Nothobranchius furzeri: one gene and its partners. The protein of the gene in region 1 purifies or fractionates together with the protein of each later gene. This does not show direct contact. Links are inferred from orthologs where the notes say so. Each region holds a gene or a part of one and is shown on either strand. Other genes may lie near its edges. The genes, in order: ubxn7, nploc4, klhdc3 and toporsa.

Region 1 (8,176 bases):
ATTTTGAGTCTCTGTGTCTGTGTATTCTGCTTTGGATATTTTTTGTGCAATTGTTGGACAAAATGACTTGCTGTGGCATTAATTGCACTAATAGAGCGTCCAAGGAGTCTCCACTTCATTTTTTTCGGTAAGTAAAATTATATTTATGTATTTAGGTCACTGCCGAGCTGAGCTTAGATTTTAACATGTACTGTTTAACCATGAAATTTAAATGTAATAGGGTAAACCCAGTGCATTTAACATAATGCTGCACTTTAGAAAATGGGTTGAAATATAACATGTTGGTGGAGCTGGGTTCCGACTATCGGCTTGTGGAGCTCTTGGGAGACCGATGTTTTCCACCCGGTTCTCCCCGCAGCTCGACGCATCTCTGTCTGATCGCGGCTTCTGTCTGCTGTGCGGTCTGCCGGCTTTCAGCAGCTTTCGGGAGACCTCTGTGTTCCACCCGGTTTTACCCAGCAGTCAGCCCGGCGTATCTCTGACTCAGAAGCTCTGGTGTTGTACACAGTTAACTCCGGTTGTAGCTAGGTTGCTACCTCCATTAGCTTAGCTCCCACCTCCTCATTAGCTTTGGGTTAGCTTCAGGTTAGCTTGTAGCTAGTTCGACCGGGTGTCGTCAGTTGATCCCAGCCTTACAGCCCCACCCTCAGCCCCACCCTCTTCCCTTTTGTGGAATTGTCTGGGCATGACGGAACCTGTGACACGGTCAAAATGGCGGTGGTGGCCACCTCCCATTTTGGCACAAAAATGTGTTATTGGAGTCTATGGAAATGAATTGTCCAGTATATATGTCGATCGTGCGCCCCAGGGCAGCTGTGGCTATGATGTAGCTCATCACCATCAGCATGTGAATGAATGAATGATTCACTCAGTGTGTTTACATGCACGTCTAAGTCGATCTAGGTTTATCTACGATAATAAGCTGGGAGCTTCTACCCTAGTTTACACGTACGTTAGAAAACCGACTTCCCTTAAATGTCGGCATTCTTCCGGTTAGCTTATAGCAACACAAATAGTAAACACATGCTGGTGGGAGTGAAGCAGACAGGGTAAAAACAGGAAAAGCATAACGACTGAAGGAATGAACAACAATGCTGCAGCAAAGCTTATTTGGATTGTACTCTACTGTTTGACGGTGTGTTACTTTGTGGCATCGATATTATCAGGAGAACGCTTCTGCATTCTCGTCACTTCCGGAAGTTACCGTTACAGAGTGACTGAGCCCTTTACCTGCAGATGAAGTTGGGTTTTAACCACATTATCTTGGTGCCTCAGCTCGATTAGAACCAGTTCACCTTCTCAAGACCAATGGGTTCGATGCACGACCATGATCTCAGAGCTATCGCTTTGATAACCTGACACACGGGAGGCGACAAAAGCCAGCGACGTGCTCTATTCCAGGGCGAATAGCAAGTCTTCCGTTGTTTTGATTGGCCATCAGAATGGAGGGAATGCTGAATTATTAAAGCAGTTCAGATTTGAAAAAGCTGTAGATGAAAGGTCTCACAAGGTTTTGGTAGAGTTAAGTGAAGTCTTACTTCTGGTTTAAAAAAGAAAAATATGTGAATGGGTTCATCCCATATATTACAACAGAAAAAGAAACAGTGAACACCATCATTTAATGATGCCGCTTTTTTTGTAAAGATCTCTGTACTCTTTTGCTGAAAAGTTGTAAAGCTCTGGGAAATCTGACATGACAAGTATTAACTTTTCCTCCATGTTTGCCCGGGGATGTACCGAGAAGCATCCTGTCCGCACACTGGTCAGTCAATGAAACCTCCGCTGATTGGTCCTTGTCCGAGCGACAGCGACGAAAAGTTGAAATTTCCTCAACTTTCTGGGATTGCGTCGCTGGTTCACCTGTGCACAACACATGCTTAAGTGCAAAATTTCACATGTACGTTTCACGCATGTCGCTTAGCAGGAGGGAGACCCGTGATTATCGCTTTGTCGTGCATGGCTCAGTAAAAATTACTGGAGAGGCAAAATGGCCTCCCATCCTGTGTGTCAAGCCCATAGTACATTTACATACTTTAAAAAAATGTCTGTCTATTTAGAGCAATAGTTTGGTCTTCTGATGCACATGTAAACACACTAACTGTAGAGTAGGGCATTTTGGAGGTTATTTATCATATGTGAACATCTCTCCTCTGATTCGCTAACACAATGCCACCCTTCCACTGCTTTCGTTTGCTTTTCTTTCTTGGGTTAAATGCAACGTTGATGTTTTATCTCCACAAATAGCTCAAGCCTGAAGGAGTTCTGCCATGTTATGGAGTTGCTAATGCTAAGGGATATCTTCTACTAGTCAAGACATCCATATCAGCCTTCCTTGGTACCGAGCCCAGATGGGTGAGTCCATGAATGCTTATTTTAAAGTATGATGTAGATCTGAGTAGCTTTTTCAGAGCTGACTGTTTCCCTGTCTCTGTTCTAACGGAGGCTAATGCCGGAAATGAGGCAGAAGGCTCATGCTCAGCCTGCATGTGAAACTCAAGAGTGAATGATCATATAGGTCAAGTAAAAACCGTTTTCCAGTGAACCCGGTCTTTAATTTCACTATAAAAAGTAGGGATGTATTAGAGGGCGCAAGAGCGCCGCTGTCAAAGTATGTTTACTGGGCAACCGCAGAAGAAATGAGCTTGTCACATGACCAAACAAATGAGCTCAAACATGAAGCGGTTAGCAAAGAGCAAAGCGTGGGAGTAGTTTATTGTAAGTTATTTTGTTCTTGGAACACAATAAGCCTCACATCAAAGCCTGGCAGAACATGGCGCAGCAAACTGAACCGAGACCAGCAAATGGTCAGTTGGCCATGACACTTCTGCTCACGTCTGACTCCTAATTTGTCCAGTAAAATTAAGAAATCAGTGTAATTATTTAGTTCAATGTAAGAAAACTAAAGTGTTTTTCTTTTTAAACCGTGGCCTCCAGAATGCGCTTATAGGCAAGCAATTGTAAACAGCGCTGTGTATGTAATGCTAGACTGTTTGCTGCGGAACAAGTTCTGAGTCTGACGGACTTTTTGTTCACAAATGTAATGATTGTGGTACTTCAGCTGTGCATCTGAATTGTATTAAAAGGTGTAGATGGAAAAAGCATTATTATTTATGGCTCAGGGGCAAATGTTTGTGTCATTTGTTTACCACCACCATGGTAAATCTGTTCTAATTACATATTTAGACATGTTCTGTGTATTAGCTAAACACACTTTTTAGAATTTTTTTCATTTTTCTTAGATTTCATTCTCCTGTGAGATATAAAAGTAAATAATGTTTTATGTTAAACACCAACTACATTTACTTACTTACTTACAGGTGCAAAAAATAATTCCCCATTTGCCAAAAGTGAAATAATTTTATCTAATAATATTAAATCATTGTTCAATTATTACACTAATATGTCAAATGTTTTTTTTTAAGAATTGAAAGTCCAGTTAGAATTAGTAGTATTTTATTTTTTTATACTACGCTGGTTGTTTTTGTAGACTGTCCTTTGTTTAATTTTTTCTTCTCTGTTTTAATGTTAAATTGCCTTTTTAAATCAATTGTGTTGTGAAATGCGCTTTTAAATTATGTAATTCTCATATAGATATTTATTGTAAAAAAATATGTTAAACGTGTTTTATTACTGAAAATACTCGAAAAATAATCTAATTAGAAATAATATTTACAACCAGTATGCATTTATGCATCATACTCGATAACGACAGGACTGGTTAAAAATCGTAGATATGCTGAATGTTTATTAAAAGACAAATTAAAGCTCAATAAGCAACAAATAGTTTTCATAAAGTAAATATCCTTTTTATTTTTATTTTTTGTATTCATTTGTGCCTCAGTCAATTTTCGATCGAGCATCGATTGGATTGGTTAAAACATAGAACACCTTAGAATAACCCTCAGCCGCCATTAAATCTAATGTTTTTAATTTCTGTGAAAATATAAATATATATTTAAAAAAACGTAAAACAAGTTAAGTTTACATCGTTTTAAAAGGATTTATATCCTCGGAAGAACGATCGTTCCGCCTTTACTGCGCATGACCGTTTCACTTTCCAAGTCTGCTATCCCCTGAGCTGAGTCCACTCTCCTCTATTCTGATAAATAACTTTAAATTTAAACACCGTCCATCGCATCAAAGTGCTCATAAACTATTTAGTGCCTCCGTACCAACATTTGACACGGTAACTACTATCTATCCGGGAGAGGCTGGTGTCAAAGTGACAGCGGAGGGACAGTAACCCAACATGAGGCTGCTGATGAAGAAGGGGAATGTTGTACGACGTCCGTTCCACACAGCCAGAAAGCAAGCAGTGTGAAAAAAATAACAAAAATACATGAAATACTAACGAAATTGTGTTTGGAATTATCATCACGAGGACAATAAAAATGAATTGAGTTTGGGTTGAAGACAATATGTGTGCCTTATGAATTTATGCGCCATATTCCGAGCGTTTGGTCAGAGTTTAGAAAAAAGATACCTCTGCTTTTCCCTTCTGCAAAGCACTGACAGCGTAAGAGCAGGACTGTGCTCCCGTTTTCTTTACCTGCGCCCTCATTACGTGTTTTGTGGCAAAATGGGCGGTCCTCTATGAGCACACAAACCAACTTAATATTTAGAAAGCTAAATAAAATATTATATTTACCTGTTATTGCTGTGAATTGTTGAATTAACCCGTTCACCCCCGGAGCTGAGGTGTCTCCGAGCGCCGCCATCTTACCGCCAGAAACAACAACATAGACGTGACGCATGCGCAACGCCGTCTTTTCCAAACGTCTGGCGCGACGGAACGATGGATTGTGGGTAATGTATTTTAAAATCAAATATACGCCAATTCATTATTTGCACATGATGTAGGATTAGAAAAGCTATGAAATGTTATCAGAGACAAAGATAATATTTAAAATTAATAAATTAAGTAGTATAAACGCAAATTTAAATGAAATAACGCATAATGTGATTTGTTTACAGCTTGAAGAAGAGGAAAATCAAACTTCCAAATGTGGTCGCATTAGGTGTATTAAATGAAACTCTGCAGACTTGATTCATAAGTAGTGTCACTTTAATATTTGCATAATACATTCAGTTTGAAAACAGCATCAACTGAGTCCAAAACATGGACTCAGTTCAACAAGGAGCTGAAAGCAATTTTCATAAAAGTTCCTTTAGTGACCAACCAGCTTTTTTGGTGTGTATGTGTGGGGGGGGTTATTTTCAGTATTTTACACGAATCCATTGTGCTGCCAGCCATAAACAAAACAGTAAAATATCACTTTACAGGGGCAGGTGATGATGGTATATGGGTTTTCTACATTGTGAGATTCTAATCTGTATTTACATAAATAATTGTTTGACCAATTTCAATACACTGGATATAAAATTACATTCATGTCAGTAATGTATGCTTCTATTTATTGGGTTGATGGTTCATGGTACATAACAGGTAATAATTCTTACACTGGAAAGAGCTTATGGTTTTCTGATACAAACCAACATTTCATGTAATTTCATCACCAACTGAGTGAGATCAAATATTAAATCAGACTAATTACACAGATGAACACTGGTGCAGTGGAATCTGCTGAATCTGTCGTATACATCTAGGTGATCTCATCCCTGAGGGGGTAACAGGTCGTAAAATTTGTTGCAGGTAGTCTCAGGTTGATTTAAGCAATCTAATAGGGTAAAAAAAAACTAATTTAAACTTGATATTTGTAAGCAATCCTACATTGTTAAAGCTGAAACATGTTCAAATTGTATGCCAAACAGAGAGTTTATCTTACAATAAAACAAAAAATCTTTTGAGGAAGTCCAGCCAAGACTACAAATTCTAATTTAGTATAGACCAGGTTTTAAGTTTGTTGATAATAAGCGACGACTGTAATCAGGAAGGAGTTAAAGATAAAATAGTAAAATCACTGATTATCCATGTTTTTGGACACATTCTCAAAAGGGGTTTACCTACAACAGAAATGAGTCATCAGCTATCAGGTTTTAAGGAAAGGAAGCAGCTGGACAACAACAAAAAAAACATGTTAATTGACATCCATTTATTTTATGACACATTAGTAAGAAACCTTTATGCTAAAAACTGGTCATTCTGCAGGTAGCACTCTTCTAAGTTACTGTAAATCAGCATAGAGTTGATTTTTATTTTCCATTAAGGTGTTCTTTGTGAAGAACTGGGGCCAGGGCATTTCTGAGAAATATAGTAGAATCCAGGAGTCAAACAAATTTAGATTCTACTTTTTCCCTTTTACATTTTCCCTTCAGCATTAATCTTTAATTGTTCTTATTGTGACTCACAAGAGCAGCATCAAACCCTTACATAATTTTTATGACACTGGAACAACTTTAAGAATTTGTTCAACAAAAAAGGCTTGTTTCTTTTACCCTGATGGGAACCCTAATTGTATCCAACATGCAGAACAATAACAAAAACAAGTGCAGAAAGGAGAAAAATAAGCAGATGTGAGCATATGGTAGACTTTCACTTTCACAGTTCCAACCATAATAAATAAAAGCATCAACACAACAGCATAAATGAAGGTTTGAATGACTGCATACATGCATTCATGTATGGAGAGTGAAGAATGGGGTGAGTGTTGGAATGTGTACACGGTGAGAGGATGACATGGAGAGGCCAAAGTGTTATCAGGAGCTGTTTTTGTAAGCAGGGCAGGCAGGGAGGGAGGGAAGGAGGCGAGGCGAAACACAAAAAGGTGGGCGGATGGGTCGTACGCTGCGCTTCAGAAGCGGATAAAAGTAGCGTCGATCTGGCGCACGCTGGGCAAAGCCAACATGATCTTTCTCCGGTACTGAGGGTCTTTCTGTAGCGGGTTTCTTTCTAGGTAGACCGTCTCCAGAGACTTGGCGTTCTTCAGCTCGTCCAGATCTGACCAGTTGTCTATCTGATTATCATTCATCTGAGGGGGGATTTAAAAAAAACAAACACACAGCCATCAGCACCAACTGAATCAACACACACACACACAAAAACATTTTTAAACTCCTTCTTCAGAGGCGTTTAGGCAGATGCGTGATTTATGGTTTTCCAGTTTCAAGTGCGCTGACATTCAGTGAATCTTCACGCTGCCTGCGCTACGTCTGCACCCTCCAGCCTCAAAGGTGGGAGGAGAAATAAACACTGACCTCAGAGCCTGTGGCTACCCAACGACCAGCAGTAACGCGTGCGTTAAGCAGCGCGGTGTGTTGAAGCTGTCATCAGCTAAAGAGGTAGATGTTTTCATCCAAGCGCATCACGGCCCGTGAAGAACGAGGAAGAGGTGATGAATAGTCTACGGCTGCAGGTGTGGATCTGCAGCCGTGCCCTTCTGAGCGTGACAGCGGGACGTCCCGAAGGTCCGCTCACCTGTTCACCGCTCAGACGTCCCGATCTTCTACCTTCCTAGATCATCCAGCTGTAACCTGTTCCTGATCATGTCTTTAGTCCCGCTGTAACACTGATGCATCAGTCTCAGATGGCATGGAGCTCAGGTGTTATCAGAACTACCTGTGTGTGTTTACCACCCAGCTGCAGCTCTTCTGTGGTTGGGTCTGACCCAAGTTAGTACATTTAAGTCCTCCATCAGATTTGTGCCTCTTCTAGTGTCATTTTAAAGGATTTTTATTTATTTATTTAACCTTTTCTAGATTACCAGCAACAGAAATGCTACTAATAACACACAATTATGTGAAGCTGGAAAAATTAAAATACTGTACAACATTACATTTATCTCAGTAATTTAACTAGACTGAGAGACCATTTAAAGGCTCAGGAACCTTTACAGGTGTTTCTATTTGCAATTTTAAATTTTGACTGATTGGGGTCTTGTTAAATATCACACAGTGACCTTTTAATAGTCTAGATAAGTGTAATGTTCCTGTTAGTAGTTCCTCCTGTTAAGTGCTTATTTATTTAAATTATTCAGGTTTATAAAAGAAAGCATTTGGACATACACTTTATTATGTTCCAGGCATTAGTCATTTATATTTCACTATTGTAGTCATTTATAGTAAATAAAGTAAGTTTAATTAAGAGGGGAACCCATTTTTCTTGTATTCTTTAACGAAAAAAGTAACCAAGTAGTTATTTTTCTTGGTAATTAGTTACTTTTATAATCTCGTAACTTGGTAAGTAACTGAGTTACTTTTTGACAAAGTAATTAGTAAC
Region 2 (8,217 bases), on another chromosome or scaffold:
GGAGCCGGTTGGCTCGTTTCTCCCCCCCCCCCCTCACGCTGTTCCTGTTAACCAGACAGGACAGCTGAATCGCAACTTCTAACGCAGACTCATACAGTGTCTTTGATTTCTGAGTGAATTAACTTAAGAAAACGCATCGACAAAACGCTTTACCATCAACATGTACCGAGGGCAACTCTGGACCGGTTCCGTTCGACACCTACGTCTCCCCTGTCAGCCGCTGGTGTCATCTGGATGAACCACCACCATCCTCCACGGCCCGGATCCGAAAGAGGGTCCACAAGAGTTCGGTGAGACAGAGCACGGTGTTTAGCGTTTGATGCAGTTCTCTGATAAGACCTAAGTTTATCCAAACCATCACTTCACTCAGACACCTGTTCTTCCTGAAGCAAAATCAGACTCACACACGCATTCATATCACAACATTCTCAATCTTCATAAATTCACCACAAGGTCTATTTGATCATATCAACTGTTAAAGATTGTCCCACAAGTTGCCAATGTTGATTGTTATTTCCTGTTTGTCAATTTCAAAATCATTAGTTTAATTTGAAGAATTAAAACTTTTAATTGTCAAACTGGTTTCCTCATTGAACTGAAACACAGACACACAGATATTATCGTCAGTTTATCGATGAAAACAACCTTTGAGTCTTCATAACAATATAAAATTTGGTTATTGATTTATTAAAATTAATAATCCGAATTAATACGTAGCATGGTTCCTCTTTCATAAAAGAGCCTAAAACCATAACGCTACAAATATGGCTGAGACAAACCAGTTTCTCCTACACCTTTAAGCGCCAAAGTTGCAATACTGCGACAAGTGTCATTACTGACTTTAACGATCCACAGCTACAAATACAATCCCTCATGAAATTATTACTTACACCAGAAGATAGTGGAGATATGCAACTTCAGGCTGAGCTATATTTATGAGTGTGTTTATACTGAAAGTTTCAGAGTTTATAGGGTTTGAAAACTGCCTCCCGCTAAGAGGTTACCGGTTGGGGAGAAGACGAGTGCACAAAGAGGGTGAATGTTAGAGGGATAAAACTTGTGATTTCCGGCAAGTCTGGTCTTTGTTGACTGATATCTTTGTCTGGTCATGACTGAGTCCGATTATGAAGCAGAATATCGACTCTGATGAAGAAATTCACTCATCCAGCCGCAAAGATTGACGCTGCTGAACAGCTAGTGCTACACTTACAAATTCCAAACGTTGGGTTTGACGTTATATATATATATATATATATATATATATATATATATATATATATATAAAAGATAAACAATGAAATTTAAATTTCAAAGAAATTCATATATGTATATATAAATTGAAAAATTCAAAATATGACATTTTCTAAATACCATGAAAAAATAAGAAGGAACATCTGTAAAAATGATGCATTCCAATACGGCAGCCCGATGACGTCATATTATGCAAATTAGAAGAGTGAATTTTGGTCCTACTGAAAATGTCTCTCATTTACAGTTTACCTTTATCTCTAACCATTTCCGAGCTACAACCTTTTGAAAAAGTCATGTCAAAATTGAACAGCTTCCTGAAAAAACTCTGGCGCCTAAATGGTTAGTATATGGTTGTAGGAAATCACTTTTGAAATCAGGGTGTTGTCGTTTAAAATAAAAACTGCAATGTTTTTAGTAAAACGTGCATTTATGAATTTACTTTCCATGTAAAAATGTGTTGTTTTCCACAGATGTGGCACAACTGAATGCTGAAATTCAAACCCTTATGATTTCCAGTTTAACTCACTTGATCTTTAGCAGACTGAGGGTTTTGTTCTGAGACACAATCTCTCCGGTCTTGTTGCGGTTTAGATAAACAGAGAACCCATTGGAACTGAATCCAAACTCTTTGGCCACCTGTAGGAGACATAAATGATCACATACCGTTGTAAAACCTTAAAGTTGGTTAATGTATTTAATAGTCTGTTCTAGACACCTGCTGAGTGAAGGCTGCTTGTGATTGCTACAGATCACTCAAAGCAGATTAATCAAAAGTTTTTGAGGTGTCCAGCTGGTTTGCAACAACTGATGAGTACACTGAGCAGGTTGGAGGTCCTGCATCCTAATAACATCCCATCATTTAGGAAATCTATCTGGATAACATCTTAACTAGCATATTGTAAAAAAATAAATAAATAAAATAAATCTTTGAGATCAGGATGGACAAAAATCACAAGAGGCTGTTGACGCCACTATGTTTAAATAAATCCCATTCATCATCTCTTTCAACAGCTAACCTTCAGTGCCCAAACCATATAAGCCCCCCCCCCCCCCTCCCAACACACACACACTTGTGTTTTTCTTTTCCACTGATCAGGGACAAAGATCTGCTCCTCCCATTGATCTGAAAACTACACTCTCCTGCGGCAACACAGTAGCATGCATTTTTAATTAGATAGTGCTGCAACGCTGCTGGAATTCTGATCTATTTCAGGCTTTCAAAGCCAACGCTTTTAATTAAACTCTTATTATTGTGGGTGCTTAAGTCAATCAGATAACTAAATAAAACCAGAAGAAAATTAAAGGCCAAGTTGTGGTAGTTACCAAATATGTCAATCGGTCTTAAACTGTGTGAAATGTCAGCACTAGTAAATTAAACCCCAAATTAAACCTGCCCTGTCTAGCATCAACTGGATTCCCTGAATGGAAATTTCCCCACAAGCCTTTTGTCAATACCCGGAAGCCATGAAAGCTCACAGGAGCTGTGCAGGACAGACCTGCTCTGGTACTCTCTGCATATCTTTAGTCAATTTATCTTAGTCTGTGTTTGTGTGTGTGTGTGTGTGTGTGTGTGTGTGTGTGTGTGTGTGTGTGTGTGTGTGTGTGTGTGTGTGTGTGTGTGAGATTACAGGCTTGCCTGTAACTCACGTGTTTGGTAAAATTCCAAATGTTTGCCAGCAATAATTACTAAGTGATTGTTTAAAAAAGCGTAGCATGCTTGTTTATTCATTTTGACTTGTGTTTTTGTGCTGCAAAATCTTATATCCACTGAATCCAAATGAAATGAATAAGCATAGGTTGTAGATTCGAGCCCTGCTCAGTCTGACGCTGTTGTTGTGTCCTTGGGCAATCACTCAACCAACCTTGCCTGTTGGTGGTGTTCGGAGGGACCGGTGGCATCTGTATGGCAGATTTGCCTCTGTCAGTGTGCCCCAGGGCAGCTGTGGCTACAATGTAAGTGTGAATGTGTGTGTGAATGGGTGAATGACTAATTTTTTTGTAAAGCATCTTGGGGGGTTCCAGGACTCTAGAAAGCCCTATATCAAATATCAGGCCATTTACCATTTACCAACCAATGTCATGGGACTTACTGACATTATGTGTTTGCAAAAACAGTGATTTGGTCAGATTATGTCATTTAGCAAGAACATTTTATCCAGTAAAAAAAAAGTTAGCCAATTGAAAATCGGTTACCAAATATTTATCCACTTATTTATACTGTATAAAGACAATTGTGATTAAAATCTAGTTTGTTTCCATTTTGCCACTAACAACAAAACACTACACACGTAAACACCAATGAAAATTATGTGTATGTTAACTTGTTTACCTTCTTTAGAAAGGCAGCTGCCGTTTCTCTCTTGGTGGAAGCAATTTTCTTCATCCCATCTGGGGACTGAATCCTGACTATCTAAAAAAATAAATAAATAAGGCTTAAGTTAAACTTTTGTCTGAGTTTCAGCTAATCATAAAACCAGGATGTCCCAGAGTTTCGGAATGAAAATCAGTGAATCAAAACATTTACATTTCTCCAACTTTTGTCCCTCTCAGATGACAAGGACAATGAAAAAGGTAGCGTTAAAGCTTGGTTATACGACTGAGTTTATTAGAAAGTATTTTAAATCTATAACACGGAGATTAAACTTATCTGATACTTTTTGTTGGTTTGTATACAGCCAACTGATTATGTATCTCTAAAATTACAATAACACTCATATAATGAGCAGACGATAAAATACTTATTCACTCATTTAATTTATTATTGAAACATCTAGGCTCAAAAGGCTTTAAGGTTTACAGCAGACCTGTTTTAATCAGGATATCGTAAGAAGGAGCTAAGCTCGGCCAGTTATCTGCACAGGCCGCAGTCACTCTGTGCTAACGTTAGCTAACAAAGCTAATTCTGCTGCCTCATCCCGCAGGACTCCGGCTAGCTGCCGTTAGCACCATTAACACCACAAACTATTATACTTACTATATTATCCGCCATGTCGCCTAACTGAAAGTCACTGGTGTACGTCCTTGTGCTGATAGACAAAAACTACAAAAGTCACGAAGCGTTACTGGCTGACTGTCAGCGAAACTCCATCACAGAACTCTAACACCGGTGTAGCACACTATAGTGTCCGACAGTTCACCCCGGCTGAAACAAGTGAGCCTGAAAACATGGGTTCCAATTTGTGTCTTTTTTTCGACAACCATTAATTCAATCTGTCCAGTGATTTTTATTCTAAATATTTTCTGTTTAGTTTAGTCATTCACAGGCAGTGAATTTAATTGTATTTGGATTCAATTGGAAACTGTGAAAGAGAGCGGAAAGTAAGAAGGAGGACAGCAATCAAAAACGCACATCATTTCAAGTTGCACGTAATAACATTTTGCAGCATGCAACAAATAGTTTGGGTGGTAAAACAGTAAAACTTAAAACAGACAGGACTTATCAGAAAGGTTATGTGAAATGCATACGTGTAGGAAAATGAGCACCAAAATATTTTAACAAAAAGATACAGAAACACTGATTGGGCAATTAGTAATTAACCCATAGTACACAGTAAAAACTGGTTAAAAACGTTGAAACACAGTACAATGTCTCTCCATTTACAGCAATGAATGTGGTATTTTCCCAGATGGAAAATCATATTCATCATATCCGAAATATTAACTTGCAAGTCAGTAACAACAGAACATGTTAACAAATAAATTCTGAAGGTTAGGAATATTTAGACTCAGCCACTCCATATTAGCAAATCAAAACTTATTAGAAACAGCGCAGTCAAAAAGAGGTGATCTTCTAATCTAAGGTGTTAAGCATTTGAACCATTTATGGAAGAAGATAGTAAGATGAAATACTGTGGTCAAAATTGGTTACCGCAATCACTATCTTACTACTGTCTCGTGAGTTTCATGGTTGTTGCAGTTACGGATCATCAGCACCAGAAGATTCTAACAAAGACTAATCATACACAGTTGATAATATTGTTATATCTGGTGATAGCACTCTTGGGTGTTTTACATTGGGGAGCATTTGCTTATACACACCCAGCATTGTTTTATGTTTTGTATGAAAACACATGTAGAACTAATGTGCATCACTAAATTGACTTAATCGAACCAGACACAAACTAGAGCAGAGGAAAAATGCCTGTAAGTTTAGCAAGCTTCAAATCCTTCTTGCAGAAAGAACAACCATAAATCTTGCCATATGGTACGCTGAGATTTGGGGTGACATATATGCAAAGTGCCAACATCTGATTTGTAGTCAAAGTAATTACAATTTTTTTTTACAAACTGATAAATCTCAAAGAACGTGACAGGCGTGGTTGAAACACTTGCAGTGGTGGCTTGTTATCGTGCTCTGAGGACGTGCACTGATAAAAGTCAGATCGAATCTTAAAGTTCTCACTTTTCTCAGAATAAATCATCAAGGCTTAAATTAAATGATTTCAACTGGTTTTAAAAGAGTTTGGCTTGTTATAGAAGGTTCTTTAGCACCAACCTGTCCAGTTACTGGTGAACCTGCTTATGAGCAACAGTTGTGACACAGAGAGAGAGATGACTCTGAGGAACATCACAGACTCTCACCCTGAGCAGCTTTAACCCTTGAGTCTTTATTGTTACAGCATTTTCTCCGCCATGTTCTTCTCTATACTCTGTGCTGTTCACTGTCATTTCCCAAATCTCCCGTCTGGTTTCATGGTCTTGGTCCTGTCCACAAAGATGCGCGTAATGGCCAGCACAGGCTATGTGTCTTAGGCAACCAATGCTATGTAACATCCTTGTAGTCCAGTGGCTAGAGTACCTGCCTGGTCACTTTAATCGCTGGACTACTAAGTCAACAGAAGACTCTAGGTCCATTTTGTCAGAGCGAGCATAGGCGGAGCTTCACTGAAACAGACCGTTTCAGTTCCGGGTATATATTCAGGCGAACAAAAAAAAACCCCCCTCATATTTAAGATAAATTACATCTCAATAATATTTGATCATATATTGAGCTTACCTTTGCTCTCAAAGGCATAAAATAGCACAATCTGGCTCCTTTAAATGACATTTAAATTTTAAGGTGATCCCCCTTTATTCTGAGTGATCAAAGATGACAATATTCAGCAGAAATGTGCTTGCATGCACTATGTAACCTATGTGGTTTACTTTGATGACAAGCTTTTTTTCTTGTACCTGACTATGTTATATATTTTTTATTTTTTTATATGTGAAGTGCTTTGTGGTTTTTACCTTGAAAGATGCTATGCAAATAAAGCCAGGTGTTGAGGCCTCCAGTTCTAGTTGCCTGCTCTGTAGCAGGAAAGTTGGAGAACTGATCTCATAAACAGCCAAATCAAATAAAGTTTGATTTTATGGAAAACCTCATTACCATCATTTTCAAATGAGTTAAAGTGTTATCTTTGTTTAATCAACATATTAGAGAGTTTTAAAAAAAGCAACAGTCCTTAAAATTCTCTATGTTAGAATATTTACTGACATTCTGAAGTAAGTACATGCACAGCATAAACAAAATTAAAACATTTAACATTGATTTCAAATAGCTGTGTTTTTAATTTTATTTGTGCATGTGGGATTGAGGGTATGTTCTCTGTATGTGTGGTAGTATTTTAATAATAATAATCAAAACAATTCAATTAAAATAAAAATGTTTTCCTCCGCAGGAGCCAGAAGTATGGGTTGTTAGTTCCTCAGACTTTGTAAGGGTCTGAAAGACTGATGTTGTGCTTCTTGTTTTACCCGTTTCCAGTTCAGTCTTGACAAAGACCCTACTGATGGGTTGTCTCCAGTAGATGGCAGCAGTGAGTCACCACAAAGGCAATCCAAGTGTGCGTCTGAGCAGATGCCTGATCAAAATGTAACAGAGCCACGTACACACGGTCTAGTTGTTAAAATGAATTTTAAAAAAGGACAAGCAGTTGCACTTTTTCCAGTTTTCAAAACAAACAACCTGCTATAAATATTCACGGTGTGGGGTGATCGGCAGTGATGGATTTAGGCACAGATCGTATTTAACGACGCAGATTGTTTTAGTGTCCAACATCATGAAAGAAGTAGATCTTCAACGCAACACCTCTGAAAGTCAACTTCTAGAGAAGAAACAAGACATTAATTCTGTCGTTGCTCCTCAGCAGAAGGATGTTCTTATAAAGCAAACATCTGGTGGGTAAAATCACAGATTTAATGAGTCTTTAAGAGAAGTAAGAGAAGAAAACAGCTAACTGTTAGCTTAGCTTAACGATGCTAAGAGAAGCATTCAGATAAACAAGAGCTCGTCTTTGTCGTTTATTTTAATATAAATAGTTCATAAATGCTCGATTTTTTATTCTTTAACATTCGTCCAATCTTTAACACCTACAATAACTTGTTGACAGCTAGGAAAAGCAGCAAGTGTCGCCCCAGATCATTATCAGCGCACACAGTAGAATTATGAGTTATTTTGGTGTCGTGATTAAACCCTCAACTCTTTTTGTTTCCTGGTTTGTGCCACATGATCATCCCTCTACCATGTCCTCCTGCCTTTATGTTCTTTTAACGAAACTTTAGGCAAACATCTGGAGATCATTTCCCAGAGCAAATGAGAAGAGAAAATTGCTGGTTCACTCAAACTAAAACAACCATGTTGAGGCTGTGCAGTTTTTCTAAATTTATGAGGAAATCATGTCCAGGCAGCAAGATTTCTGCTAACTTGTGTTCTGCAGCTTTTGTTACTCAGCTGTGCATGCTGTACATATGGTTATTTGCTTTGGTTTTCACATGAATACTTCAGTTCAGTTCATTTATTTATAAAGCACTTTAAAACACCCAGCACAGGAACAAAGTGCTGTACAGAAAATACATTAAAACAATAGAATAAACAGAAAGCAGCAAAGAGAAATAAATAAAACACAGGAGACATAAAATTAAAACAGCCCAATAATAAGAATAAAAACTAGATAAAAACAGCATTGAAACACACAAAAACAGCTA
Region 3 (8,112 bases), on another chromosome or scaffold:
ACACAGAGGAACTAGAAACAGTTTATCCTCTTGTATAAAATAGCCTCTTAAAATATACTAAATAGGGGATTGAGGAAGTTGACATCAATCACACACACACACACACACACACACACACACACACACACACACACACACACACACACACACACACACACACACACACACACACACACACACATACACACACACACACACACACACACACACACACACACACACCAAAAGGTTCTCTAAAGATAAACAACTGGTTATTTAAACTTACTCTTGCATTTATTAATGACCACACCATGGTGGTGGTATCCAGCCTGTGGATGTCATTGGAGAAGCAGTCAGCCTAAAATAAAAAAAACAAGAATCTGTTCAGTCCCCTTTCACTCTAGCCCCGGGTTTCCACGGGAGCCGTCAGCAGCGCGTTACTGCAGCAGCACGTCTTGCTCGCGTAAGCTGCTGCTTGGCCCTTCCCACGAGACGCGAAGCAGCAGGGGAGCAGCTGTCACCGACCGAGCACGAAGTCACACGAGTGACTTCGTCAGTAAACACAACAACAAGCAGGAGAAAACTACAACATGGTTTGTGTTTTATGTTCTGTCCGTTTTATAATCGCCAATACGGACCTGAAAAACAAAGGAGACCGCTAGCTAGGTGATAACTTCTCACGGGGCCGCACAGTTAGCAACCTTTTTTAAAAGTAAAGCAACCGGAAGGCAGTACGTTCTTTATTCTGAAAATCTCGGGAGCTTCTCTCCATTTCCGCGTCCGATTTCCTGTCTTTCCTTCCCCAAAAATGTCGAACTTGACCCGTTTCAGAGGCGTCGCGCGTAGAAAATAGAACCGGCGCGTAAAGGCCGCGACATGCTGCTCCTGAGACGCGGCCGACTCGCACTGCTGACGGCTGCCGACGGCTCCAGTGGAAAAGGTTCTGTTGACCACAGCGGTTCCTATCAGCAGCTATGACGTGCTGCTGCAGTAACGTGCTGCTGACGACTCCCGTGGAAAGCCGGGGTAATGCTGCAAGGCAGGCCCAACACTGAAGAGTGATAAAGACTTACCAGCTGTTCATACCCTCCAAATATATACATCGTCTTCCCCAGGACACAGGCGGAGTGGCCATCTCTTGCCCCAGGAACTGCCCCTGAAATCTTGGGCGTGTACCATCTGTGGGTATCTACAAAGCACACACGAGACAAAACCATCACACCCATGCAGACGTTCTAGCTCTCAAACTTAAAAACCAGGTTTAGCTAACACGATCTCCACATCAAACAGCACCTGAGAGGAAGCCCAGCCTGAAACCATCCTTTGACAGCATGAGTGAGACGGGGCTCTACTTACTAACATCAAAGGCATAGAGTACATTGCAGGCCCCCTCTGTGTCGTTACGCCCACCCCAGAGGAAGATGGTATCATCCAACAGCACAGCCGTGTGGCCGTAACGCATGTACGGTACTTCGCGGGCACGTTCGTGTCCTCCTGTCCTCACTGGAGGCAGCTTTGTCCAACGCAACGACACTGAAATACACAACAATCAGAAGTTTGCCACTGCCGCAAGCTTCTTTAGAGGGGATCATCACAACATGTCTAATAAAAATATGAAATGAATGAAAAATTAAAATGGATGTTGGAAAAAATATTTTTACTCGTCTGTAAAAACCTGTGGGAAAAAATGACTTTCATCCCAGATCTCAGGAATAAAAACTAACACAATCCCTGCTGTAAAATCTACATCAAAGAGAAGGAGAACAGTGTGAAGTAGAGAGAAACAATAGTTATGGTGCCGTTTCCTTTACAATCAGCTGAGGGGCTGGTTCCACTGAACTTTCTTCTTCTTAAGAAACTGTAACAGCAGGCAGGATCAAGCTGCCTGAGAAACGGTAAAACACCAAAGAGAGCAGCTGGCTGGCCACACACGGGCAAAAAAAACGAGTGTAAACGGGTTACGAGAAGAAAGAAATGAGCGGTTTTGTAAGGATCAGGGTGGAATGTTTACAGAAAAACACCTGGTTGTCACTTAGCTACTGAAAGACGTCTAACAGGAACTATTTCAGAAACCACATTGGGACGTTTGGAGTTGAACTGCACGTTTCTGCTGTGATGAAGTGGTACAGCTCTGTATGAACTTCCAGTCTCTCAGATTTTAAACTATTTTATCAAAAAAACCAAACAGATTTTTAGAAATTAAAGCTGTGGTTTCTTAAAAACCAAACAGCAGTCTTGAGACTCATGTTTTGATATAAAGTTTTTTTTTAATGGGCTTTTGACACAATTACATAATAAAAATGACATTAGGTGCACAAACTCAGTTGATTTTACCAGTGTGTGCACCTGTTTGGTAATTTGATTGATCGTGTTGTTTTTTTTTTTTACCTGTGTTGAAAACATGCACATCAATTTGACGCAGTGTCTCGTAGTCCTCCCCGGAGCAGTAGCCTCCGAAGGAGTAGACCTTGTGTCCCACCGCCACAGCAGCATGGTTGACTCTCCGCGGCCCTCCTTCTAGGTGCACCGACCAGCGCAACATTCCACGCGCGAGCACCTCTGCGTCCCCGAGTCCTTACACCATCACTTGCTGACCCACTTGGACCCCATCAAAGCTCGTACCATTGAAGCCTGTGATCGAAACAACAGGAGGTGGAGCAAGAAGAGCAAAATGTCACACAGCCAAGAAAAGACCAAAGAGTAACAAACTGTTCTCTTGGCTCGTTCGGCTCTGCTGTTGCTGACGGGCTCGCGAGCCCCAGTGTCTAAGCTGGGAGGGTATTTTAAGAGGTGACTAGACCCACACCTACAAGTTCTTGTTCTCTCTCTTCACTCCTCTTTCAGCACCCTCCCACTGGCCACAAAAGTTGTTTTAGGAACATAAAAGCGCAAATCCAACCCCTAAGAGGAGCATTACAAATGAATGTGTGATGTCCAAGTCAACTCACATAAGCTGAATATTCATTTGACCTTCAACAACTCCAGGTTGAGGAATGGGAACCTATTCCACAGCTGTGGAGCCACGTTGATGTGGATGCGTATGGATCTTCCACACGCTTTTAAGGTCCCTGACAGTATAAAACAAATTTGGTGTAAAATTAGACAATGTGTCTTGTTTTTTGTTGTTATTATTAAGGGAAAATGCAATCATCCAATCCAGAACAAGACTGAATACCAACAGGAGAACATTGCAGGGCATTTGAACACATTTTTAAAGGTGTACCCCACACTTTTTGCTGAAGAGCTCACGCCGCAGAAATCCAATATTTACAAGTTGTTCCTCGTACTAAAGGTGACTAACCTGGATTTCCGGTGATTGCCAAGAAGCACTGTTGCAACAAATAAAATCAACCCAACAACTTGTCTGTGCTTCGCTTAGCACAGACAGAAGCTCAAACAATCCTTTGCTTATCTTGGCAGTTAATTTTGCACGGTTATACAGCTGTGTAATATTAACTGCCTGGAGAGTTATTTGCAAAGTAAAACACCAAAAAAAGGGCATTTCTTAAAAATAGACGCAAGAGATTCAAATTTATTACCAGATGGATATTCCTAATCTGAAGAATAATGTTGACCAAAACAAGATGTGGTATTCAACCTATGTTTGATTCAAAAGAACCTTTTGAAATAAACCTTCATCCTGACGTACGCTGTGCTTGTTTATTTATTCCTTCAGGACTCAGTTACTCACTGACCTTCAACCTTTTGTTTCTCTTAAAAATACCCCCCCCCCTCCCCCCAGCGGCTACTATTAAACTTAGATTCATTCTATTTTAATCCCAGATATTTCCGAGGAGCAACAGAAGCCAGAACAACCTAACCCATGAGAAATATTCGGCTTAATCCACTTTGTTAGGTTTGAGTTGTGTTGCAAACTTTCAAACCTTTAAAGCAAACCAGACGTTTCTGTCACATAAAACACAACAGCACATTCTGTTAACATTAACATGTTAAAGTGCTCAGTTTAGATCCAGAGATAAGAACAGCCTCTACTATGCTGACCTACTGAACAGGTTATTGATAATGTCAGGTATGCTAGCAACCATGACAGTGACATCTAAGAAAACCAGAAACCACAATGGTTCTATAACAAACAAACAAAAAGGCAAATGTAGCACTTATACTGTCAGTTCAAATATGCAAAAGAAGGACACATAATAGCTGATGTACCCAGAGCTGAAGACATAAGAGCTGTAACAGTGAAGACCAGATAACACATCGGCTAACTGGCTAACGTCATCTGTCAGGGGTGGCAGAGAAACGTCATCAAACCGCGAACGTGGCTTGTCTATCAATATAAATTTCGTTATTACAAAATCAGCTGCAGTCTAGCAATCTGGGAGCTCGGTAACCACCCAGCCGTCTGACAGCTAACGCTGAAGGAGAAACTGTTGCTAGCTGAGCTAAAGCTAATAGCTGTTAGCATAAACTGTATGGAAACAACCGGCGACTCTTAGAAGAGCCCCGCTTATTTCGACCCATGTCGAAAACAACAAACGGCTCAATCAAAATGAAGTGTTGTAGATACATAATTTAACTACCTTTAGGTTGAAACGCCAGTGGTTAACTGGTGTTTAGGCAGCAGAAGTATCCAGTGTGGAGATGTCAGAGGGCGAGAGCCGCCGTCAGCGCCCCCTGGCGGATGTTTCCATCTATTTATGTCTTAAAGGGACAGTACAGATTATTTTGAGTCGAAAATAGAGAAAATAAAAGCATTCAGAGTCATTAGACTCAAGTAGAAGTATAGCTACTAAAGTCTAAAGAGACTTCTGTAGAAGTAGAACAATCAAATAAAGCATCTGACTGAAAGTACAAATGGGCTGGTGTTTCAATTGTATTAAAGTATTACAGTAAAATGTTTATGTACAAAAGCTTAAGCCGTCCCACAACCTGTAAACTAACCTGTTTAACTTACCTGGGGTCCATGAATCCCCCCAAGAAGGTCCCCATAAGATTGCAGGGAGACCCCACAATTCTGTCTTTTCTAAGATTGTGAATTTTACCAAGATAATATCTGTAAAATTCAAATAAAACAGAATATTTTGAATCAAAATGAGTAATTATAATGCAATTAGAGTAACAACATGAGTACTTCAGCACGTTAAGGAAGTATTTCTATTTTGTTACTTGGCACTTTTGTATATATCTTATTTTAGAACTTTAGTTTGGTGAAAAAGAAATCAGTGCTGATCAGAAAGATGAGCTAGTGGCCAGTCTGAACCAGTCAAAATGTGTTTTTGTCATTTTAAAAGACAATTTTGTTCATATTTTTAATAAACTGCAGGAATGAATGTTTTGCAAGTTGATTTCTGGGAAGAAAAAAGCTTTGGTATGCTTGTTTGAGGACGTAGTAGTCAAAAGAAAGAAAGTAGCTTCAGACGGCAGGAGTCTTATTTCCTGATATTTGGACATCTTGACTTGGATCGGCTAACAAGAACACAACTCTATCACTGACTCTGTTTACTTTGCTACACTGATGTTATAGCTCCTCAAACAGTACAAGCCTGAAGGAGATTTGCCAGTTAGCTACTAGCCGAGATGTTCTCTGCTCTTTCCTGGATGGTAAACCAACAACAACCTTTCCTGTTGTGAATCAAGATGGGTGAACCATGATTTTTAAGTGACAGCAAAACATAGATCTGTCAGGCTTTTCTGAACTGAGTGTGTTTTCATCGGTTTTCTAACAGAAGCTAATGTAGGTAATAAGGGTAGAAGGCTAATTTCTCATTCAGCCTGCACGTTAAACTCAGAGTGACTGATCATTTCCAAAGATGATACGTTAAAAATGGGTTCTCAGTGAACCTGCTCTTTGAAACAAATGCAATCTTAAAAATTTCATAGCATTTCATGTTAACGCTATTAATAAAGCATTGCATTTATTTATGTAAAATGTTTTCTTTAACATAGAATTGTGTGTTTGCAGCACAAATAGGTTAGAAATTCCAGCTTTCTTTTTCTGGCAGGAATTTCATGATCTTTAGCATCATGACACACACACACACACACACACACACACACACACACACACACACACACACACACACACACAGAATAAGAAACTAGTTTTTCTCTCTTTCAAAATACGGAACTGAAAGTGTTCTAAGATCTGCAACAAGATTAAAACCAAAACATGTTATTAAGAATTAGCCTGTTGAAGCAGCTAATGTTTGAGTAGTTTCAGATTTGTTTTTGCACGTCCAACAGAACACGGCAGTGACTCAGCTTACTGTAATTCGTCTACCATGACTGACGGACAGTTCAGTAACCGACTGGTTCAACCAGACCATCTGGGTTCTCTTGCAGTAACCTTTTCCAACCCTCACTGGCAGCCACTACGCTGATATCAAACTATCATTTTCTATCAGAACAATAAAGGGATAAATAATAATTGTATGGTGTCTAGTACTTGACCCAAAAGGGGAGTCAATAAGTGAGTTTAGGATTAAACTAAATTGTATGTAATGGGGTTGATATAATAAAAGTTTCATGACTTCAGTTTCAAATTAATTCCATGTTTTACATAAAAACATCCAGGTCGGGGGAGAGGTCCTACCTCAAGTGGAGGAGTTTAAGTATCTCGGGGTCTTGTTCACGAGTGAGGGTAGGAGGGATCGGGAGATCGACAGGCGGATTGGTTCGGCGTCTGCAGTGATGCGGACGCTGAGCCGATCTGTCGTGGGGAAGAGGGAGCTGAGCCAGAAAGCCAGGCTCTCGATTTACCGGTCGATCTACGTCCCAATCCTCACCTATGGTCATGAGCTTTGGGTAATGACCGAAAGAACGAGATCGCGGATACAAGCGGCCGAAATGAGTTTCCTCCGTAGGGTGGCCGGGCTCAGCCTTAGAGATAGGGTGAGGAGCTCGGACATTCGGGAGGGACTCGGAGTAGAACCGCTGCTCCTCCGGATCGAAAGGAGCCAGTTGAGGTGGTTTGGGCATCTGGTCAGGATGCCTCCTGGACGCCTCCCCGGGGAGGTGTTTCGGGCATGTCCTGCCGGCAGGAGGCCCCCGGGTCGACCCAGGACACGTTGGAGAGGTTACATCTCCAATCTGGTCCGGGAACGCCTTGGGGTCCTGCCGGAGGAGCTGGTGGACAAGGCCGGGGAGAGGACGGCCTGGAGCTCCCTAATTGGGATGCTGCCCCCGCGACCCGGACCCGGATAAGCGGAGGAAGACGAAGACGAAGACGACAAAAACAAGGTCATTTCTCATGGTCCTGTTAAATTGTAATTGTACAAAACCTCTAAACTGAGGAAACATTTTTTTGTTGAAAATGCTGAAACAAAATCACTTCTGATCAATTAATTAGATATTAATTAATCAATTAGTTAGACAACAATTATTTAATTAATTAATTGAGTGTCTTGAGGGGCTATAAGAAGACACTGTACAAATTAAATTAGCTTTAATTTTTTCAGTGACAATCTGTGAAACTGCTGATTCAGATAAATGAAATGCTGCAGAACTGTAGCTATTAGGAAGGGAAATCTTCTGGTTCATCAGCCCCACCAAGAAATCTTCTCACCAGACTAGAGTTGCACCTGCATCCTGTTTCTCTTTAATCCCTCCTGTAGCAGATCCTCTCAGTTTAACTTAGTTATTTAAGTAAAATGTGTAACTAGTGGATTTCCACACATCATTCCACAATCCACATTAATGTAGTTCACGTGCAGCTGTGGGGCCACATGTCTTCATTTGAACACATTTCAGCTAAATTCCATAAAATGGTACAACTCTGCCACCTGGTGTTAAAACTGGGAACTGTTGCTTTTCTGATTCACTTCTGAAAAAAAACTTTCAACTTTGATTCTGCTGCTGCTTTTGAGATAAAAACTCAAACTGTGTTTAAACACAGTAGAGTTCTGTCTGAACTTAAGTGCAGGATTAAAATGTTTTGTTTTTCTTTAAACTCTGTCTCTGAGGAGCTGGAGCAACCTGGAAACCTCTAGAACTATTGGGTCTACTCACGTGGGAGTGTCTTCTCAGACCCCCGGTTAGCCGTGGCAGACGGCTTCAGTTTTTTGGAATAATGACCAGGGGCCTCATTTATCAAGCTAGCTTACACACAAAACGGGGTCGGAAAACTGCGTAAGCAACTTTCCATGCCAACTTTGGGATTTATGAAAGAGGACT
Region 4 (8,292 bases), on another chromosome or scaffold:
CCCAGTGAGGGTTGGACTCCGCCAGGGCTGCCCTTTGTCACCGGTTCTGTTCATTACCTTTATGGACAGAATTTCTAGGCGCAGCCGTGGTGTGGAGTGTGTCGAGTTTGGTGGCAGGAGAATCTCGTCTCTGCTTTTTGCAGATGATGTGGTCCTCCTAGCTTCATCCAGCTCTGACCTTCAGCTCTTGCTGGGAAGGTTCGCGGCCGAGTGTGAAGCGGCTGGGATGAGGATCAGCACCTCCAAATCTGAGACCATGGTTCTCGACCAGAAAAGGGTGGCTTGCCAACTCCGGGTCGGGAGAGAGGTCCTACCTCAAGTGGAGGAGTTTAAGTATCTCGGGGTCTTGTTCACGAGTGAGGGTAGGAGGGATCAGGAGATCGACAGGCGGATTAGTTCGGCGTCTGCAGTGATGCGGATGCTGAGCCGATCTGTCGTGGGGAAGAGGGAGCTGAGCCAGAAAGCCAGGCTCTCGATCTACCGGTCGATCTACGTCCCAATCCTCACCTATGGTCATGAGCTTTGGGTAATGACCGAAAGAACGAGATCGCGGATACAAGCGGCCGAAATGAGTTTCCTCCGTAGGGTGGCCGGGCTCAGCCTTAGAGATAGGGCGAGGAGCTCGGACATTTGGGAGGGACTCGGAGTAGAACCGCTGCTCCTCCGGATCGAAAGGAGCCAGTTGAGGTGGTTTGGGCATCTGGTCAGGATGCCTCCTGGACGCCTCCCTGGGGAGGTGTTTTGGGCATGTCCTGCCAGCAGGAGGCCTCCAGGTCGACCCAGGACACTTTGGAGAGGTTACATCTCCAATCTGGTCCGGGAACGCCTTGGGGTCCTGCCAGAGGAGCTGGTGGACAAGGCCGGGAAGAGGACGGTCTGGAGCTCCCTAGTTGGGATGCAGCCCCCGCGACCCGGACCCGGATAAGCGGAGGAAGACGACGACGAAGATAGCTCCTTTTGAATTTAGTTTTTGGATTCACAACATTTTGAAAGTACTATGTTTGTAAATTTACCAAATAAAGTTCTTTTTTTTTTAATTAATGCAAATCAACGGGGCTAAGAGTAATTGTATAATCCGCTTTGCCTTATGCCCTAAGTCGCACATATGTTGTACTTCAATTTAAATGAACATTAGTGATGGGTGTTTTTGACCACGCCAGTCACGCACTTTGAGATTTACCAGCTTGTAAAAGTTCATAATTAGCATCACTACAAATCAGACATCAGTACTTCGCATTTATGACATCACCACAGAATCTCCTCTCCCCTAGCGGAGCTGTTATTTACCACATAGCCAGATTTATGGTGGTTTTTTCCTCCTGAAGCAAGGATTTGAAGTTTGTTGAACTTACAGCCATTTTCCCTGTTTTTCTCCGTGTCTGGTTCAATGTCGTCACTTTCGTAATGCACATTTTTAGTCCTGGACTTATTTTCACAAAAAACCTAAAATAACGTTTCCCTCACGTTAGAAAATAAGCTCTTTATTGGCGTCAAAGCGCGTCTTTAAAAATCACTGACATCATATGTGAAATCAATGACTCATAACAAACAGAATTAGAAAATTGCATTTTCAGCCCCTTTGACTTGTATTCCTATTTTTATTCTTCTGGGGACCCGTGGTCCAGAGGGAGATGGGCATGACTTTAGCTCCCTGTAATGCTCTAATTGTATGGCACCCCATTCCTGCCATTCTGATAAAACCAAAAATAAAACACCTTTATTTCTTAATTATGAGATAAAAAGTAATTTTTTTAATTAGTGGCGGGAATAGGCTTCTGTCAACTGGCGCGTGAATTAAGAGAAGACTGGTTAAATAACTCCAGTTTGCTTAAAACTTTAAATGTTATTAATTAAATATTGAATTTAATCTAAAAGTGGATGGAAAATCCGATCTGTGATGAGAACATTTTTTTAGTTTCAGTTAAACATGCTTCTATAACTTTTTGTTTGTTTTCTTGCAGACCTACAAAGCATACAAAGGTGGAGTTTTCACAATCACACGTCTGCTCCTGCCTGGCTGGATTGTTCACTACTATGTGAAATATCACGTTGCTGTAAGTTTCCCCAAAAGTTTTGCAGTGTTTGTAGCACGTTTCTCCACCTGGTTTTCACTCATCCATTAAGCAGGATAGGACTAGACTTTTTCCTGTGTCTTCAGTTGTTTCTTGGCTATAATCAGACAGTCTCACTCAGTTTATGGATTCAAGTTTAATTTGTGTGATCAGTAGGATTACTAGCTAAAAGGTACATTTTCTCCACAGACAAAACCATATGGGATTGTGGAGACGAAACCCAAGCTTTTACCTGTGAGTATAGCATATATACTAGTTCTGAATAATACACGTGTGTTATTTTAATTAGCTGTTTTCTGTTTATGTGGTACAATCATTGTCTACCACTGACGTCATTGACTTGCTGTCTGAGATGTTTAATTGACCTTTCTTACAGGGTGACACCATTCTGGAGACTGGCGAAGTGTTACCTGATCTCCCAGAGATCCATGGCCATCACTAAATAAAAAAAAATGTGATTAATTTTTTTGTTTTTCTGTTGTAAAAACTGTATATTACAATAAAATATTACAAAATTCTTCATGTCTGACTGTAATGAGTGTGGTGTTGGGTTTTAACTGGAAGAATTTCATCATTTATTCCAGGACTTTGTGCTCATGATAAGATTTAGTTTTGTGTAGCTTTTCTTTTTAATAGGTTTTTAAATTATTATGTTGCATGAACATTTTAACATGATTGGTGTTTATGAGGCGGTCATAAATCAGTTTATGAGGTGTCGCAATTAGCACCGTTACCTCGCAGAGAGACACTCGCAGGTCGAAACTGCTGCTGCACCTTTTCTGCGCAGTTAGTACTCACCCCCCTCCTCGTGTGTGTGAACCTGAAAAGTTGTTTAATTGTAATCATGTTTTTTACTGATCGTGATTGAATTGGATTAATTTGCATCTTAGGTTTTATAGTCTTTAAACGGTCTCAATTCCATTCATGCTAGATCAAATCACACTGTTAGTTATTGTAGTCTTACAGACATCCTCAAAGCCTGGTTTTAGTGGAACTTTTTCACTTGAGTTATAAATAAAACCGGAAGTGTCTAAAGAAGTGCTCTTATTTTGAAGAGCGGAAGTGTTCGAACGTTGAAATTATGAAACCGGTGGAAAGGAGGTGAAACGCTAGCTGACAGATGTTTACTAAAAAGTGGATTTATTCATGAAGGAAACTCCTAATTCGTTGCCAGTGGTGTGTATGTGTGTTTGTCAAAGTCGCAGGTAAATATCTTACAACTCATTAACGGACTCCTTGCCGTCGTGTCATAACTTTAACGGCACCGTGCTAGCTAACGTAGCCACCTTGTGCTAGCTTCAACCAAAAACCCAGCTATAATCTACAGTTAGCTTTGTTCTGCGAATAAGAATATTTTTATGACTATTTGTTGAGGTTGTTTATGTTTTCAAACTAATCCAACATTAAATTTTCATCAAATCAAAACGGGATCGTAACAACGTCAGCATTCACTAAAACACACAACAAATGTGCCGAAAGACATATTTAATACGTTTTCTTGCGTTTCTATTATCTTGCCAAATATAAGAGCCATGTCTTTTTAGGTTGTCTTTCTGATTGTCCCGTTTAGTTAGTTTTGACTTATTTGAAAGACAACCAAAAGTTACAGCTCCTTAAAAGACAAAATATGGGCTGTGACGGTGATAAATGTCCTCTAGAGTAGAAATCTGTTCAGGTTAACGAGAATTGTTTGTGTTCATTTTCATATTTTCATAATGGGGCAGAAACGTAACTTTTAAATGCATCGCACTTTTCGCAGAAAAAAATCACGAAGTGCTTCACAGTAAAAATAGAAAATACGAGGAAATAAACAAGCAACAATTATAAATAAAATAAGGCAAAGCAAGTTTAAAAAGCCAAGTCTTTAAAAGTTTCATAGTTTATTTTAATCAACAACTTTTTCCATTGTTTATTACTAAGATCTATGTAAATCTGTAATAACACCAGCCCTGTGAACTTAGTGAATAAATGATTCAAACATAAAATAAATTCCATAATTTAATCATAGATGGAAAGCGGTTTATATATTTTTGCTGTTCTAGTTACTGCGTTTTATTCAATCAGCCTGCTTAGGTTGGCTTTATTGGTGTTTAAAGTAAGAGCTTGTATTTTGAAGATCACTCCAGCTTTTTCTTCTCTCCACATTAGATCATGTCTGCAGTCCAGATTGCCCTGCAACACAACCAGAACAGTGCCAGAGGTAAAAACTCTAAAGCGATGTCTGGAGAGGCATCGCCAGACTCCAAGTGCCCCATTTGCTTGGACAGATTCAACAACATTTCCCACTTGGACCGCTGCCTGCACAAGTTCTGTTTTCGCTGTATCTTGGAGTGGTCCAAAAACAAGGCCGAATGTCCGCTCTGCAAACAGCCGTTTAGGTCAATCTATCACAGCGTGAAGTCAGATCAAGACTTTCAGAGGTATGAAATCAAACAGCAGGTGGAGAATGCCTCTTTTGGCTATTTTGAGGGAGTGCGGTTCAGATACCGAACAACTTTCACTGGAGTTCGAGCAACGAGACGAACCTCTCCTCCTCCAGACAACGGAGTCATGTTCGAAGCCGCGACACGCCCGACCCTGGAGCAGCACCGAGATCATTACATTCGACGCATGATGACGAGGTTGGAAGCCAAGAGGCGAGCTGCGAGGGAAGGCAGGGCGGTGAACAGTGTCAGAGAGCAAGAGATGATAAACTTCAGGAGGGAACTGTACCGACGGGGTGTGAGGGTTCAGAGCGTGAAAGATGGCGGTCGGTCCCGAAACACCTCTGCTGAGTTTTATCGAAGAAATCCAGCCTGCCTGCACAGACTGGTCCCCTGGCTGAAGAGAGAACTGATGGTTTTGTACGGGGCCCATGGCTCTTTGGTCAATATAGTTCAGCACATCATCATGTCACGCATTACGCGTTATGATATGGAGGATGGAGCGATCCAGGGAGAGCTCAGACCATTCCTGCAAGGTCGAACCGAGCACTTTCTACACGAGTTCCTCAGCTTTGCAAAATCCCCCTTCAATATGGAGGCCTATGACCAACATGCAGTCTATGACTGCCCCGCCCCCTCCGGAAACGAAGGCAGCAGCTCCAACTCATCTGTGATTGCTATCTCGGAGGATGAGGATACCTTTGCAGAAGTGGATCCCCCAGGGGAACCTACTTCTCTTAGCCACTCTCTGTGGGACGACGAGACGCCTGGACCGTCATATTCCACTTCAGCCGAGCAGAGAGAAGCAACAGCGATGACACCTTTGAACTTGGACTCAGATATTAGTTCAGAGGAGGAGATGCAAGAGTTTGAGGCTTCTCCACACCGGCAGAGCTCACATAACCCAGCTGGCGTGCCTCAGAGTAACCGCAACGAGGAAGACCGTGTGTCTTCTGACAGCGAGGACTGTGTCATCATAGGGTTTGTCAAACCGACAGCAGAGAGGACTCCTGAGCTGGTTCACCTCTCCTCTGACTCGAACGAGTCTGAGATTGAGGATACTGAAGAGGCACCTCTCCCGCCCCATCACATCCGTTTCACCAGTTGTAGCCCTGCAGCTTCACACAGAAGCGGCTCTGTCAAGGTGGGACAAAGCCCAGAAACAGATCGCCATCGTCAGTTGGATTCAAAAGAAAGATCTTTAACCTCCAGAACGCACAAAACATCCAAAAAGCCAAACAGTAACGAGAAAAACAGGAGATACGACAGCAAAGATAGAGTGAAAGATCGGCATAAACCAAAGGACCGAGAGTACCGGAGGAAAAGGAGAAATTCAAAAAGTAGAGAGCGCAGGCTCTCAAGCAGAAGTCCAGAGAACTCCAACAGCAGCCTCAGTTCTCAGTCTGCTGAAACCGATTCTTCATACTCCCGTGGCAGAGACTTCTCCAAGTCTGGCCCAGTTTATAGAAGAAAGGACGGGGACCACAGCTACCAGTCGTACAGCCATTACAGACGAGATAAGAACGGTAGCGTGACGCGTTACACTCACAGACAGTCCTACTATTACAGTAGCAACAAGTATTCTCACTCTCGCTCCAGAAGCCGTAGTAGAGATTCACAGAGACGGCACAGGAGGTGGTCCCAATCCAGAAGTTGCTCCAGCTCCCCTTCAACAAAACGGAAGTCCCATCACAACAAACCAGGTGGGAAACGAAAATACAAAACCAGGCATTTGGAGGATTCATCCAAAGACCTACTCCAAGACGCGCGTGCTGACGGTGACCCAGAGTTCTCAACAAAGCACAAGAAAAAGAGCAAAGAAAGGCGTCATAAAACATCCAGAAGGAGCAGCTGCAGCGTGGAAGACACCAAGAACAGAGAAGAACGCGACCGAAGCAAGCATCACCATAAGAAGAAGAAGAAACACAAGAAAACCAAAAGGCACAAGCATGAAGCGCCAAAATCCAAGAGCTCACTGGCTGTTATCACTATCGATAGCGACTCTGATTCCGTCTGTACTTTTGCTAAAAGCATCCTCACTGATGAGCAAGCTAACCCCCGAGCTGAGGACTGATCCTCACCGGGTTTGACATTAGCTGCCAAAGCTTGACAACAATAATCCTAAATATTTTTTGTTGATGTTCATCAGCCCACGACTAAATGGACTTATAATGAAAGGTCCAGTTATACTCTTATCATTTCACTGTATTTATGTACCAACAAGCCCTCAGTGCCTCAGTTTGCTTTTGTTGTTTAAGATGACAACGTTGTTTTATGGTAAACATGTTCCTGCCATCAAGGTTGGGACAAATCATCACATTTAATCTGGTTATCCTTAGTAGAAATTAATTTTTATATAAAATTCTGAGATTTTTTCAGGGGAAAATGTTTCTTCTTATTGCAATAAGTCAGCAACATTTTATTGGCAGCTACTTCTACCTGCCTCTTGATGTAATTATATTTTACTGATGCTATTTAGATTTTAAAATGGGCTTTTGTGGATTTCATTTAATGTAAGAATAAATATATATTGATTTAACATGTTCTCAGTTTAGCTGGTTGTTCTTCCAAATATTGACTGATGTTTGTTTTATTTATTTTTGAATTTTCTAATGTTATGGGGGATTGGGAATCAAGCTTTGAGGTGGACAGTTTTAGATTCATGCGTTACTGCTCTGTAACAAAAAATTGTGATGTTATGCAAAAGAGGAGGGGAGAGAGAGAGAGAGAGAGAGAGAGAGAGAGAGAGAGAGAGAGAGAGAGAGAGAGAGAGAGAGAGAGAGAGAGAGAGAGAGAGAGAGAGAGAGAGAGAGAGAGAGAGAGAGAGAGAGAGAGAGAGAGAGAGAGAGAGAGAGAGAGAGAGAGAGAGAGAGAGAGAGAGAGAGAGAGAGAGAGAGAGAGAGAGAGAGAGAGAGAGAGAGAGAGAGAGAGAGAGAGAGAGAGAGAGAGAGAGAGAGAGAGAGAGAGAGAGAGAGAGAGAGAGAGAGAGAGAGAGAGAGAGAGAGAGAGAGAGAGAGAGAGAGAGAGAGAGAGGTGGGTTGGAGTTCCTCAGGGGTAAAAAGGTTGGGAACCACTGCTAAAAAATGCATGGAATACTTCATGTGACATTATTCTCCCCCAAACAGTAGGGGGCAGTCTACCAACGATTTTTTAAAAAGGTGCTAGAATTCCACACTAATGAAGATTTTAATCATTTACTTCTACTAGAATAATATCTTATTTAAAGCCATAACCAAGGAAACAAACGTGTGACCTCAGAGACAGAAAATCTTCAAACAAATTCAGCCAGAGGTTCTGGAAGTTAAATTACTTTATTCTTTAGACAAGTTACTTGTTAATTTCTAGGAGTACATTGCACAGAAAAGCTGCCCAACAAAACCTAAACATGTTTGACCAACAATAAATAAATGTAAAAAAAAAGTTTTCTGGTTGGGAGCACAGAGGCAGTCTAGGTCACATGATCACACCGATTACTCACCACTTAAGGTTTTCTTCCACTTGGTTTTCAGGAGAGATGCATTTTCTATAAAACCATCAAAATTAAGTAGCAAAGTTAAAATACTGCATTAGCAAACGGAGTGAATACTAATATCTATGTTTATGGTAAATACACAAGTTTTTCTTCCCAATTATGTCTTTATATACTAAAAATGGTTAGACTAGTTAGTGATCAGATAAGGACGACTGAATCCTCAAACTATTAGTAGCACTGCAACTATTATTAACCTCAGTTCAATTTATTTAGAAAAGACAATTTCACAGCAAATGTCACCTGAATGTTTGTTTCAACAAGTGAA

What was found.
Region 2: the proteins of ubxn7 (region 1) and nploc4 purify together in Homo sapiens (affinity purification with mass spectrometry; 3 studies listed by BioGRID and IntAct, with this or other methods). This does not show direct contact. The link is inferred for Nothobranchius furzeri from reciprocal best matches to the Homo sapiens genes UBXN7 and NPLOC4.
Region 3: the proteins of ubxn7 (region 1) and klhdc3 purify together in Homo sapiens (affinity purification with mass spectrometry; 3 studies listed by BioGRID and IntAct, with this or other methods). This does not show direct contact. The link is inferred for Nothobranchius furzeri from reciprocal best matches to the Homo sapiens genes UBXN7 and KLHDC3.
Region 4: the proteins of ubxn7 (region 1) and toporsa purify together in Homo sapiens (affinity purification with mass spectrometry; 4 studies listed by BioGRID and IntAct, with this or other methods). This does not show direct contact. The link is inferred for Nothobranchius furzeri from reciprocal best matches to the Homo sapiens genes UBXN7 and TOPORS.

Annotation. Positions count from the first base shown.
Region 1 is NC_091751.1:53,570,870-53,579,045, forward strand, and holds the start of ubxn7 (UBX domain-containing protein 7), read right to left. Parts: upstream 4,719-8,176; coding exon 4,649-4,718; intron 1,861-4,648; coding exon 1,738-1,860; intron 1-1,737. Other genes in the region: ppp1r7 (protein phosphatase 1 regulatory subunit 7), read right to left, coding at 6,753-6,929. UniProt on the Homo sapiens protein: Ubiquitin-binding adapter that links a subset of NEDD8-associated cullin ring ligases (CRLs) to the segregase VCP/p97, to regulate turnover of their ubiquitination substrates.
Region 2 is NC_091756.1:53,432,861-53,441,077, forward strand, and holds the start of nploc4 (nuclear protein localization protein 4 homolog), read right to left. Parts: upstream 4,376-8,217; 5' UTR 4,241-4,375; coding exon 4,226-4,240; intron 3,662-4,225; coding exon 3,581-3,661; intron 1,888-3,580; coding exon 1,778-1,887; intron 1-1,777. Other genes in the region: gastrula zinc finger protein XlCGF57.1, read left to right, coding at 7,293-7,410. UniProt on the Homo sapiens protein: The ternary complex containing UFD1, VCP and NPLOC4 binds ubiquitinated proteins and is necessary for the export of misfolded proteins from the ER to the cytoplasm, where they are degraded by the proteasome.
Region 3 is NC_091752.1:2,827,423-2,835,534, reverse strand, and holds the start of klhdc3 (kelch domain-containing protein 3), read right to left. Parts: upstream 4,634-8,112; 5' UTR 4,521-4,633; intron 2,611-4,520; 5' UTR 2,522-2,610; coding exon 2,368-2,521; intron 1,513-2,367; coding exon 1,336-1,512; intron 1,169-1,335; coding exon 1,053-1,168; intron 338-1,052; coding exon 266-337; intron 1-265. UniProt on the Homo sapiens protein: Substrate-recognition component of a Cul2-RING (CRL2) E3 ubiquitin-protein ligase complex of the DesCEND (destruction via C-end degrons) pathway, which recognizes a C-degron located at the extreme C terminus of target proteins, leading to their ubiquitination and degradation.
Region 4 is NC_091746.1:80,960,195-80,968,486, reverse strand, and holds toporsa (topoisomerase I binding, arginine/serine-rich a), read left to right. Parts: upstream 1-3,138; 5' UTR 3,139-3,277; intron 3,278-4,220; 5' UTR 4,221-4,223; coding exon 4,224-6,569; 3' UTR 6,570-7,034; downstream 7,035-8,292. Other genes in the region: ndufb6 (NADH dehydrogenase [ubiquinone] 1 beta subcomplex subunit 6), read left to right, coding at 1,962-2,054, 2,262-2,306, 2,449-2,514. UniProt on the Homo sapiens protein: Functions as an E3 ubiquitin-protein ligase and as an E3 SUMO1-protein ligase. Probable tumor suppressor involved in cell growth, cell proliferation and apoptosis that regulates p53/TP53 stability through ubiquitin-dependent degradation.